3 linked regions of the Sus scrofa genome follow. The protein of the gene in region 3 purifies or fractionates together with the protein of the main gene of each other region. This does not show direct contact. Links are inferred from orthologs where the notes say so. Each region holds a gene or a part of one and is shown on either strand. Other genes may lie near its edges. The genes, in order: ATMIN, CEP78 and UBR5.

Region 1 (3,753 bases), on a different chromosome or scaffold from region 3:
TAGAAACCTCAGAAATAAAGCTGGCGGCTTCTTTCGAAGACTCTTGCAGCACTAATGCCAGAAAGCAGACTCTGACACCACCTCCAAGGTATCCTCAGAAGTTGCTTTTACCAAAGCCCAAAGTGGCCTTGGTAAAACTCCCCGTTATGCAGTTTTCTCCTGTGCCTGTCTTTGTGCCTACGGCAGACTCCTCAGCCCAGCCTGTGGTGTTGGGTGTCGATCAGCAGGGCGCTGCCCCCAGTGCTGTGCACTTACTGCCCTTGTCCATAGGGACCCTGATCCTCGGCCTGGATTCAGAGGCCTGCTCTCTCAAGGAGAGCCTCCCTCTTTCAAAAATTGTAAATCCTGTTGCTGTTGAGCCAGTTAGCACAGGTGTTCAAGTGAACTTGGGTAAAAGTCCATCGAACCCTTTACAAGAACTAGGGAGCCCCTGTCAGAAGAACAGCATCTCTTCAATCAACGTACAGACAGATCTGTCTTACACCACACAACCCTTTATACCTTCTCCGCAGTGGGCTAGCCCTGATTCCTCTGTATCGTCTTGTTCTCAAACTGATTTGACGTTTGGCTCTCAAGTTTCCCTTCCCATTAGTGTTCATACGCAGACTTTTTTGCCCAGTTCTAAGGTGACCTCATCTATAGCTGCTCAGACTGATGGGTTTATAGAGGCCTGTTTCCAGCCGGGTGGGATCTCCAGAGAAACTCAAACCAGTGGAATGCAAAGCCCGGCAGATGCTCGAGAACAGATGGACCAAGCTGTAATGTGTGGAGACATTTTTGAGAGTGTCCATTCATCATATGGTGTTTCTGCAGACAATATTATAAGCAGCAGCCTAGTAGCAGAGACTGTAACTCATGGTTTGTTACCTCAGAACCACCCCAAAATTTTGAGTCAAGATATTGAGAAATCTGCACCAATTATAAACTTTAGCACACAGAATAGTTTGCTTCCTTCACAGAACATGACAGATAATCAGACCCAAACCATAGATTTACTAAGCGACCTAGAAAACATCCTGTCAAGTAATCTGCCTGCCCAGACATTGGACAATCGTGGTCTTTTGTCTGACGCAAATACTGGACCTGACACCCAGCTCCCATCTGGCCCAGCCCAGAATCCTGCAATTGATTTTGATATCGAAGAGTTCTTTTCAGCTTCAAATATCCAGACCCAAACTGAGGAGAGTGAGCTTAGCACCATGACCACTGAGCCAGTCTTGGAGTCGCTGGACATAGAGACCCAAACTGACTTCTTGCTGGCAGACACCTCTGCCCAGTCCTACACTTGTCGGGGAAACTCTAACTTCTTAGGCCTTGAAATGTTTGACACACAGACACAGACGGACTTGAACTTCTTTTTAGACAGTAGCCCTCATCTGCCTCTGGGAAGTATTCTGAAACACTCCAGCTTCTCCATGAGTACCGATTCGTCTGACACAGAGACCCAGACTGAAGGAATCTCTGCTGCTAAAAACATCCCTGCTCTGGAAAGCAAAGTGCAGTTGAACAGCGCAGAAACACAAACCATGAATTCTGGCTTTGAGACTTTGGGGAGCTTATTCTTCACCAGCAATGAAACGCAGACAGCAATGGATGACTTTCTTCTGGCCGATTTGGCCTGGAACACGATGGAATCTCAGTTCAGCTCTGTAGAAACCCAGACGTGTGCAGAACTGCACCCGGTCTCCAACTTCTAAGGGTGGAGTCGGCGTGGGGACTGGCATTTGCACCTCCCCTCTGGCTTTAGGGAGGGAGAAGGGGGACAGCAGTATTAACTCTACTGAATGTAGTTGATGATCCAGTTACTTCGATTCTTTGAGGTTCTTTGCCTTTTGTACTTGTAAACATGAAATTTGTGTAAAAACCTGTGAGTATTATAAAGTGTAAGATGTTGATCTCAAAATGATTGTTTTTGTGTCGCCTACATTTGCCCTTTCAGTGTAGTCTTCCCTTCTTTTAAAAAAAAATGTATTTCATACCTTTAAAACCCATCTAGCTGTTCAGCTGAAGCCAAGCTCACCAGGACTAGGGTACAAACTTTTCAAATCTTCAAAACATTGTAGTTCAAAGTATGACTTAAATTGCACCTAAAATATTTTTTGCCAGTGCTTGTTAGAAATTCCTGTTTCACGGTAATACCTAAAGATATCTGATGCTGCACCATCAGATTGAAACACCAGCGCTTAGATGGTTTGAGACTCGTGTCGCCTGCAGCTTCATCTGCTGTGCCATCTTACTCTTCCCCAGTTTGAAGACAAAAGGAAAGCTCCAGTTGTCTTTAGCGCCTGCCAGTTTTCCTCTAGTCAGTGCCATCCTTCCTCTACATGCACCGTTACCGATGCCGCTGTACGTATATAGTACTTTCCTCACAGGAGGTGTCGCTGTAAAATATTTGCTTCAGGAAGTAGCGGCAAGCACTTAGTATAAACAGCGATCTTTCTAGTCTGAACGACAGTACGTCACCGCACTGTGGCAAGGCTGGGCCTCGGGACCATGCCCGTTGGCTCTCACTGGAGTGTGCCCTACGAGCGCCCTCCTCTTCCTCCCACAGTCGGCCGACCAGTGACTCCGAGTGTGGTCACTCTAAATGTTAAGAGGAAAAAATGTCTGGAGAAAAGGACATTCCCCGCTAAATTTCAGTACTTGGCGTGAACCTGACAGGGCAGGAGTGCAGTCGACAGTTGTGTCAAAGTGAATCTTGTCATCCACCTCTCACTTTTTCCTTGAGTGAGGAAACACACTGGTCTCGCAAGGACAGTGTTTGTGCCTTGAGGATAGCAGTTAGAGTCTAGAGCCGTCTAAGCTATGGCGTTTTGCATTTTGTCGTTCCAAGGGGGGAATACCATCCAAGAAAGTGAGGTGAAGACTGACGGCTTCGGTAATCAAGAACATGTGTGTTTTGAGATGGATGTGTGATCAGGTCTGCTTTGGGGGGTTATTTAGGACATCCTGAGTTCTCGATTGTTGGCCAACTTCCAGGCAAGTAGAAATCAGTGAAGCCTGTAAACTTTTCTAAGTTTATCGCAAAAAAAATGCTGTGTTCCTTCTGTGGCATGTGCTTCGCTGCTGAAGGCTAAATCCTCAAAAGAAATAAAACGAAGGAGGGGACTAAGAATTCGTTAAAGTAAATCAGTGGTGTTGCTACTAATTCCTGTCCTCAAGAATTGTGGGTACTGGATAAGTGACATCTCCTGCACAGACGAACTCAACCTGGTAGATGAAAGCTTGCTTTGGTCACAGTTGCCTACGAATATGGGTTTCCAAACAAACATAAAGCCTTAACTTAGAATTTCATTATGTTTTAGAATCATCACTGCCTTAATGTTCAAACATCTATTTAAGTTCTCCTGCTAAAGGAGAAATGCATGTTTGTTGATGGCTTTTTGTAAATAGATACGCAGCGATCTATGGCTTTAAATTTCTTGTGTGTTTCTGTGACATTGTTTGTTAATCCAGCCTATTGAGTTATTTACAGAAAAATGGAGCATGTAATATTCATGTACAAGTAAGAACTGTCTCCCCAAACCTTAGTTACCTGAATTGTTCTAAGATTATTTGTAAAAGCTGAAACTCAGTGATTAAAAAGTGAGAATTCTACCCATTTTTGCGAATTCTTCAACATACTCATAATGTGACTGACTTTGTGGCCTTAACGTTTCATAAACTGATCATGTTCTGAAAGTTACATGATGAAATGACAATGCCTAGTTATTTTCATTATTATTTACCTTTGTTCATGAATATATGCTAACA
Region 2 (3,653 bases), on a different chromosome or scaffold from region 3:
GAGGAAAAAATATTAGAAACTCTTTATCATTTGAAAAATATCTGTGTAGGAGTTCCCTCTGTGGTACAGTGGGTTAAGAGTCCAACTGCAGCGGCTCGGGTCACTGTAGAGGCACAGGTTTGATCACTGGTCTGGCACAGTGAGTTAAAGGATCCAGAGTTGCCACAGCTGTGGTATAGGTTGCAGCTGCTGCTTGGATTTTATCCCTGGCCCCAGGAACTTCATATACCATGGGTGTGGCGTAAAAAACTTTTTCTAAAATAAAAAATATTTGTGTAGTTTACAGTGTACATAAAGCATATGTATAGAATTTCATTTATATAACTTATTAATAAATAAGATACATGTTAAAATGTTTACTTGTGGGATACCCAGCCAAGTGTTTGGAGACCGTTGGAGGACAGAATAATAAAATTTAGAGCCTCAGTAATAAAATTTAGAGCTAATTCCCTGATTTGGCAGATTAAGAAAATAAAATTCATGGACTAATTGAGTTGTCAAAGTTTACGTAACTAATCAAAAACAGGTCCTCCAGTGGCTAGAGTCTGATCATTGGCAGACTGGAATTTGGGTCACTAGGCTCCTAAGCCAGAATTGACTGTTTTAATTTCTCAGGTTGACTCTCCTGGCATATATACTTGGAATGTGTATATTAGTCTCTGTCTGACATAAGAAGCAATAGTCAGTAGGCATACTCTTTTTCCCTCTTCAAGCATCTTAATTTCATCCTATTAAATCTTTGAAGTATCAGACCATCAGAAGGCATGAAGAAACATGGGCTGAGAGTCTTCGTTACAGGAGACCTGATCTTGACTGTATGGCTGGTTTGAGGCGAATCACCCTGAACTGCAACACGCTCATTGGTGACCTTGGTGCAAGTGCTTTTGCAGAATCTCTTAGTGAGGATTTATGGCTTAGAGGTAAATTCTAAAATTGAAAATATTGAATATAATAAATATGCTTAAGTTTTGGCATGATGCTGTTATCATAGGATTTTTTTCAAAGCCTCATTTTTCCAGTGGCCTTCATTTTGCTTTTATCTACTAATTGCATATATTCTTTATAGAAAACAGAGAGTAACAAGAAAACAGTTACCTATAATCTTAATACCCAGACATAATCACTGTTCACTTCGGTGTATATATTTTCAGCCTTTTTTTTCCTGTAACTATATTTGTACACTTAGGGATTATGAAAAAAGAATTGTAGTGTACTTAATATTTCATATCTCTGCTTTTTTCCTTTAATGATGTTATATAGTATTCCATTGTATCAATGTCCTGTAGTTTAATCAGATCTTTGCAGCTTGCTTTTCCCTGTCAGAAAACAATGTGAATACATTATATATACATCTCTGTCCGTAGGGATTAATTCTATAGAATAAGTTACTGTAAGTGGAATTACTAGTGTGATATACTTTTTCTTTTTTGGCTGGACTGCCACCCAGGCTGTTGCAGTGACAATGCCAGATCCTTAACCTGCTGAGCCACAAAGGAGCTCCCATAAGTGTGATAGACTTTTAAGACATTTGATACATGTTGCCAAATTGCCGTCCAGAAATGCCATGCCAGTTTATAGTCTATCCCAACAGCGTATGTGAGGCCTGAGCCCTCACAGACACTGGTTTATGGCACTTTCAAATACTGGAAAACTGCAAAAATGAGTACCTCCACCTTTTTTATGCAAGCAAGATTACTCCAAATTTTATAACTTTTTCAATTAATACAGTATGAGCATCTTAACAAGTCAATAAATTTATATCTACTACATCATTTTTAGTGACTGTTCAGTGTTCCATTGTATGAATATGCCATAGTACGCTTAGCTTAGCCATTCTAAATAAGCTAAGTCCAGTTATAAACAGTGCTCTGATACACATCCTTGTCTACATCTCTGATCATTTCTTTTGGCTGAATTTTTAGAGAGTTGTGGATCAAAAGGATGTATGTGGGAGTTCCCATTGTGGCACACTGGAAACGAATCTGAGGATGAGGGTTCAATTCCTGGTCTTGCTCAGTGGGTCGGGGATCTGGTGTTGCCCATGACCTGTGGTATAGGCCACAGATTTGGCTCAGATCCTGCATTACTGTGGCTGTGGTGTAGGCCAGCATCTGTAGTTCCGATTTGACCCCTAGCCTGGGAATTTCCATGTGGCTTGGGTGTGGCCCTAAAAAAGCAAAAGGGTATATGCATTTTTAAGGCTTTTGTTACGTAGTCTTGGCGTAATCTGATAGAATAAGCACATTTTATTATATTTTGTATTCATTTGATTAATTATTAAGATTTACTGGCTCGTTTTCTTTAATTTGGTTGTTTGGTTAATTATATCCTATGTCCATTCTTCTGTAGTGAAAGTTTTAAGTTTTGTAAAATGTTCTGTCAGAAATCTACATCTGACTTGCTATCCTGTATGTCATGGGGTTTTGAAAGACTCTGGTTATTTTAATGTAATAGTATATACAACACTTTTTAAAAAAGACTTGCAGTCATTTCCTTTTATGTAATAATTTTTATACCTGTGTTTTTGTGATGATCCCTTTAGTTTAAACAAGTAGCTTGTTCAGCCCCCAAACTAGTAGAATTCATGATCATTTGTTCTGTTTTTTGGCCTGATCTTTCTTTTTCCTTTCAAAACTTTATAAGCCTTTGTTTTAATTTTTTATTATTTTTTGATTTTTTGGCTGCGACAGTGGCTTAATATGGGATCTCAGTTCCCAGACCAGAGATTGGCTGCAGGAGTAAACCACCAGAGGACTCCCTGTCTAACCTTTTCTGGAAAGAGTCCTTGACCATCATTCTGTCATGATAGGTTTTTAGCATATATTCTCTCTTCACACATTCTTTGGATTGGTATCCTCTTGACTTCTTCGTCTTTTTTGTTCTAAAACTAAAAGCTATTGTGTTTCTTCTATTTTGTTTTCCTCTTTTAACTAGTTTCAAGAGTAGTTTGGAGCTCTAGATCATGATCAAAAGAATACAGTGCAATTTCTGAGGTCTATCATTTTTGCCTGCGAGGTGTACACTGCTACTCCCACCCTTGCTAATTATGTAGTGAGATTGATTTTGTGATGTTTTTCACTCATAGGATATATGAAGTTATTCTTCAGTTCTGTAACTAAAATATGTGGGTGATTTATTAGTACTAAAGGGAGGGTAATCATGAATTCAAGAATAGTTTTTCAATTGGGTTTTGCATTATGTTATGCATGTGCTTTTCTCTTTTTTTCAATATCCGAAAATTAAAAAGCCTGCCGTATTTGGTCTTGTGCAAGACTCTTCCACATTTGAATAAGTGAGCATTGTCTATCTGTATAGATCTGTATAGAGTTAGCAAGTAACGTTTTATCTCTCATCTAAAGCCCTTGACCTGCAGCAGTGTGGCCTCACCAATGAAGGAGCAAAGGCTTTGTTAAAGGCCCTTGAAACAAATAGAACTCTGGTTGTTCTGGATATAAGAAAAAATCCTCTTGTTGGTATGTGGTCTCTCTTTTTTTTCTATTGATTAACAAATAACAAACAAAAAGAATCTGTTCATGTGTTGACAATTTTTAAAGCCTAATGTGCTTAATTTTCCTAACTTAATACACTTGATCCTTGAACCACATGGGGGTTAGGGTGCTGCCCCCCAGACGGTTGAAAATCCAGGTATAACT
Region 3 (3,653 bases):
GTAGCAATGGTGCAGAGAATGAGAAACCCTGCTGTAAGCATATGTAAATAATTTTTGTATTTGAACTCAGCAAAACAACTATCACGAAACTACTTTGTTCTCTACAGGAACATGCATTATTTTAAAACCTATTTAAGCACTCTTAGAAATACCAAGTTTTCAGACTTGCCTGCAGGCGTGGATGTGCTGGAAGGGGCTGTGCTAGCTGCCCGCTGATGCTGGGTGTTTCGGACAGCCCACTGCATGGAACGGGGGGCCTGGGCGGCACCGTTGGCATGGGAGCTATTGGTGGTTCGCTCTAGTGGCTCATCAAGCATAAAAGTCTCTTGTTCTATGTCGTCACTCTGACTACTGCTGCTATCGGAATCACTTGAGTCATTTGATTGCGAATCGTCTTCGGAAAAGAAGGCAGGAACACTGCTCGCACCTAAATTTTTTTTATTTTTAAAACCAAAACTGTTGTGAATTTGACATTTAAAATTACAGTGTACCCCCTCATTCAGGAAAATACACGTATTAAATAGAATGGCAAGACTGCATCCAAGAGTCCACAAAACCCGTCATTAAAATAGTTGAACTAGAACTGTTTTGAATGAAACTTAAAAATATTATTATTTAAAAACCAGAAAAGCAAAAGAGAAAGAATCATTGAAATAATATTAACCTTCACTAATATCAACAAAGGGATGAAGTTATTAAAAGGGTTAGCCACCCTCGTGCATATCATACTGAGCACAGTCTAACCAATTCTACACCATAGCCTCAGTGTAAGCACGAAAGTTGCTAGGATAAGGACCTACCTGCTTCTGAGCCGGCAGTTGCTGCAGTGACAACACTTCTACGCCCACTAGCATTATCTTGATTGCTATGGTTACTTTCACTGTCACTTTCTGTTTCAGCTGCTGCTAACAAGTCCAGCTCCATGTCACTCCCTAGCAAATATAGTTAAATAATAAGGAAAAAAATGGTACAACTCATTGCGGATCAAGACAGGGTTTGATAAGCCAGAATATTATAAGGTTGGGAACTAGTGGCTCGGTGAGGGGATGGCGGGGGGTATCCAAGAGAAGTGATAAGTACCTGAGTAGCAGAAGAATAATGATTACGTAAACTATGGTACTCAGTGGACACAGATTCAAAGTCTGGCTTGTACAGCCTTATGCAATGTTAGGCAAGGGGACTTCAGCCAGTGGGCGGAGCTCTGGGTTAGGCCCGCCCCTCCATTTTCATTTGTTTTACATACTGGGATTCCAAGAGCAGAAGGGGGTTTAAAATATGTATCCTTTGTATTTCACAGTATACACACGTCAAAACAGATAAAATTATAAATTTTCCCAACATGTGTAGTTTATTCCATACATGTTGGTATGTCAATTCCACCTCCATAAAACTGATCCCGAAAAGTCTGTCCTACGGCTACTAGTAAGAATGGTTATGATGACTGCATAGCAAAAAGGCCAAAATGATAATCGTAACAGAATTTATACACCCTGTATCTAGGAGATGTGAGTGGGAATGGGGGCAATACAGGGAGGACTGAAAGTAATGACACAATGTGTTAGCATGTGGGTGGGATTGTGGGTCATAAGTTTTCCTTTTCTCTAATCTTCAAATACTATGTGGTTATGATTATTTTAGTTTCTGAAAGCCTTTTAAGAAAATAGAAAGTGTAAACCAAAAGGCAAAGGGAAAATGGGATAAATTATTTTGTACATGTAAATATATAAAAGCAAATAGATTTACATGCACGTATGTATACAGCTACCTTCTAAAATTCCGACAGATACTACAGAATCCCCTGGCAGAAAATACATTGAACATTTCATTATACATCAACTACAGCTCTTCTCTGTACTAAGACTTCTTAAGGGTACCTGACCTCTCATACTGAGGAATTTCTCAAATAACCTGCATACCGTCTTCATCATGCTCATCGTGCTGTCCCTCTGCCTCCGCATTTTCTTCCCCGTGTTCTTCCTGTTCGTCATGATGATCCTCTTCGCCAGCCACACCCTCCACCACCTCAACCTAAATCCAGATCTTATTTGTAGACAATCAAAGTACATAATAAACCCACATCTCTACCAGTAGTCCTCCAGAGCATTTAGTAAACTAAAATTCAAAGATGCCTAACTACAGGCAATTTGTAAGCAGTTCTGAAAATTTTCATTTGCTGGCGACAATCTGCTCTCAAATATTATGGTAGCATGTCCCAGTTTATGATTACGGTCCATACACAGAACCTTAAAATTAAAAGTACAACTGTGTGGGGGAGGGTATGCGTTTTTAAACTTTTGCAATTACAAAATTTACATAATAAACATGCAGATTCCTCTCCACCATCAAATACTTTGCACAAAAGTACTAAAATCTTTTACCACTGAGAATAGCTTTTCTGTGAACCCTCAAGTAGAACAAGTTTACCTTTCTAACTTATTATCCAATAAATCAAGGATTATTAAAAAATTTAAAGATGCATAATCACATATAAGAACATATAATAAAAGTCTAAAAGGTGGAAGCATAAACACGTAGCAGCCGTAAGCTCCTCGTAATAACACTTCTAGTGACTACTCTCCCCTTCCTTCCCAAATAAAAGCCTCATCTACCACAATCAAAACAATGAAACCACCTCTTCCACATCTGCTGAAACAATATCATCCTGTTCTTCATCTCTGCCCCGAACAGGCTGTGACTGGCTGATGCGCCTCTGCTGTGGATTCCGGATGATGTAGGACGACTGAGACGGGCTGGAGCTGTAAGGAATCAGGTCATGAGCATCCTGCTGCCACACACAGCTAGACCTTGACGCTTCCCAGTGTTACTCAGTGTGATTCACTGGCTAGGATGCTATTTTGAAACTTCTTGCAAACCGGCAATAATTAATCTACGGTCTATCCGAAAATATGAATCCCAGAGAAATTATTTGACCACAGAGATTTTTTAACTGATAAAACTCAGAATTATTTTTACTCTTTAGGAAGTCACTTCCGATTTGCGTTAGTGCACATACTTTTCTGAGTCCTTTCCACTACAATATTTCTTCAGGGAAGATTTTTTTCTTTTCTATTGCATTTAACACCAGTAGTCTTCAACTTTTGAAGGCTCCAAGAGCAGCATTTATCCACTAATGAGAAAGTGTGCTTCCTACCTTTAACAGACCTGACTACCATGACCTACTTTGCACCGGCTTATTAACCACTGACTTGCTGATGGGTGTGGGGAAGAAAAGAAGTTCAAAAGTATGATTTTAAAATAGAATCGTAACAAAAGATGGGGTGCCTAAATTGTTGTACTCCCCTAAAAATTGGACTCGGGAACAGCCAAGAAAGGACAGATTCCTCCAATATAAAACAAAAGGAAGAACCAGAGAACGCAGTTTAAAATGAAGGTCAGAGATCAGAAGATGGTTGTAAAACAACCCTGTGACCTCTTATTCTTTGTTTACAAATTAAGAAACAGACCAAAAGACGTTAAAGGATCTTTAAGAGTTGACACTGACAGTGTTCTTGCCTCACCTCGGCTGCTCTGAAAAATCAGAATTAAACTAGTTACACGTAAAAAGTCAACTTAGCCACTCTGTTTTCAAATTAATAGAGTATTAGTCTCAACTGCTGTTTAATATTAGAAATGTAAGTAACTGGTAATTTTAC

What was found.
Region 1: the proteins of UBR5 (region 3) and ATMIN purify together in Homo sapiens (affinity purification with western blotting; 3 studies listed by BioGRID). This does not show direct contact. The link is inferred for Sus scrofa from reciprocal best matches to the Homo sapiens genes UBR5 and ATMIN.
Region 2: the proteins of UBR5 (region 3) and CEP78 purify together in Homo sapiens (affinity purification with western blotting; 3 studies listed by BioGRID, with this or other methods). This does not show direct contact. The link is inferred for Sus scrofa from reciprocal best matches to the Homo sapiens genes UBR5 and CEP78.

The regions. Positions count from the first base shown.
Region 1 is NC_010448.4:7,209,456-7,213,208, reverse strand, and holds the end of ATMIN (ATM interactor), read left to right. Parts: coding exon 1-1,697; 3' UTR 1,698-3,697; downstream 3,698-3,753. UniProt on the Homo sapiens protein: Transcription factor. Plays a crucial role in cell survival and RAD51 foci formation in response to methylating DNA damage. Involved in regulating the activity of ATM in the absence of DNA damage. May play a role in stabilizing ATM.
Region 2 is NC_010443.5:231,087,557-231,091,209, forward strand, and holds part of CEP78 (centrosomal protein of 78 kDa), read left to right. Parts: intron 1-745; coding exon 746-920; intron 921-3,359; coding exon 3,360-3,473; intron 3,474-3,653. UniProt on the Homo sapiens protein: Centriole wall protein that localizes to mature centrioles and regulates centriole and cilia biogenesis. Involved in centrosome duplication: required for efficient PLK4 centrosomal localization and PLK4-induced overduplication of centrioles.
Region 3 is NC_010446.5:34,761,054-34,764,706, reverse strand, and holds part of UBR5 (E3 ubiquitin-protein ligase UBR5), read right to left. Parts: intron 2,757-3,653; coding exon 2,633-2,756; intron 2,029-2,632; coding exon 1,917-2,028; intron 933-1,916; coding exon 801-932; intron 428-800; coding exon 170-427; intron 1-169. UniProt on the Homo sapiens protein: E3 ubiquitin-protein ligase involved in different protein quality control pathways in the cytoplasm and nucleus. Mainly acts as a ubiquitin chain elongator that extends pre-ubiquitinated substrates.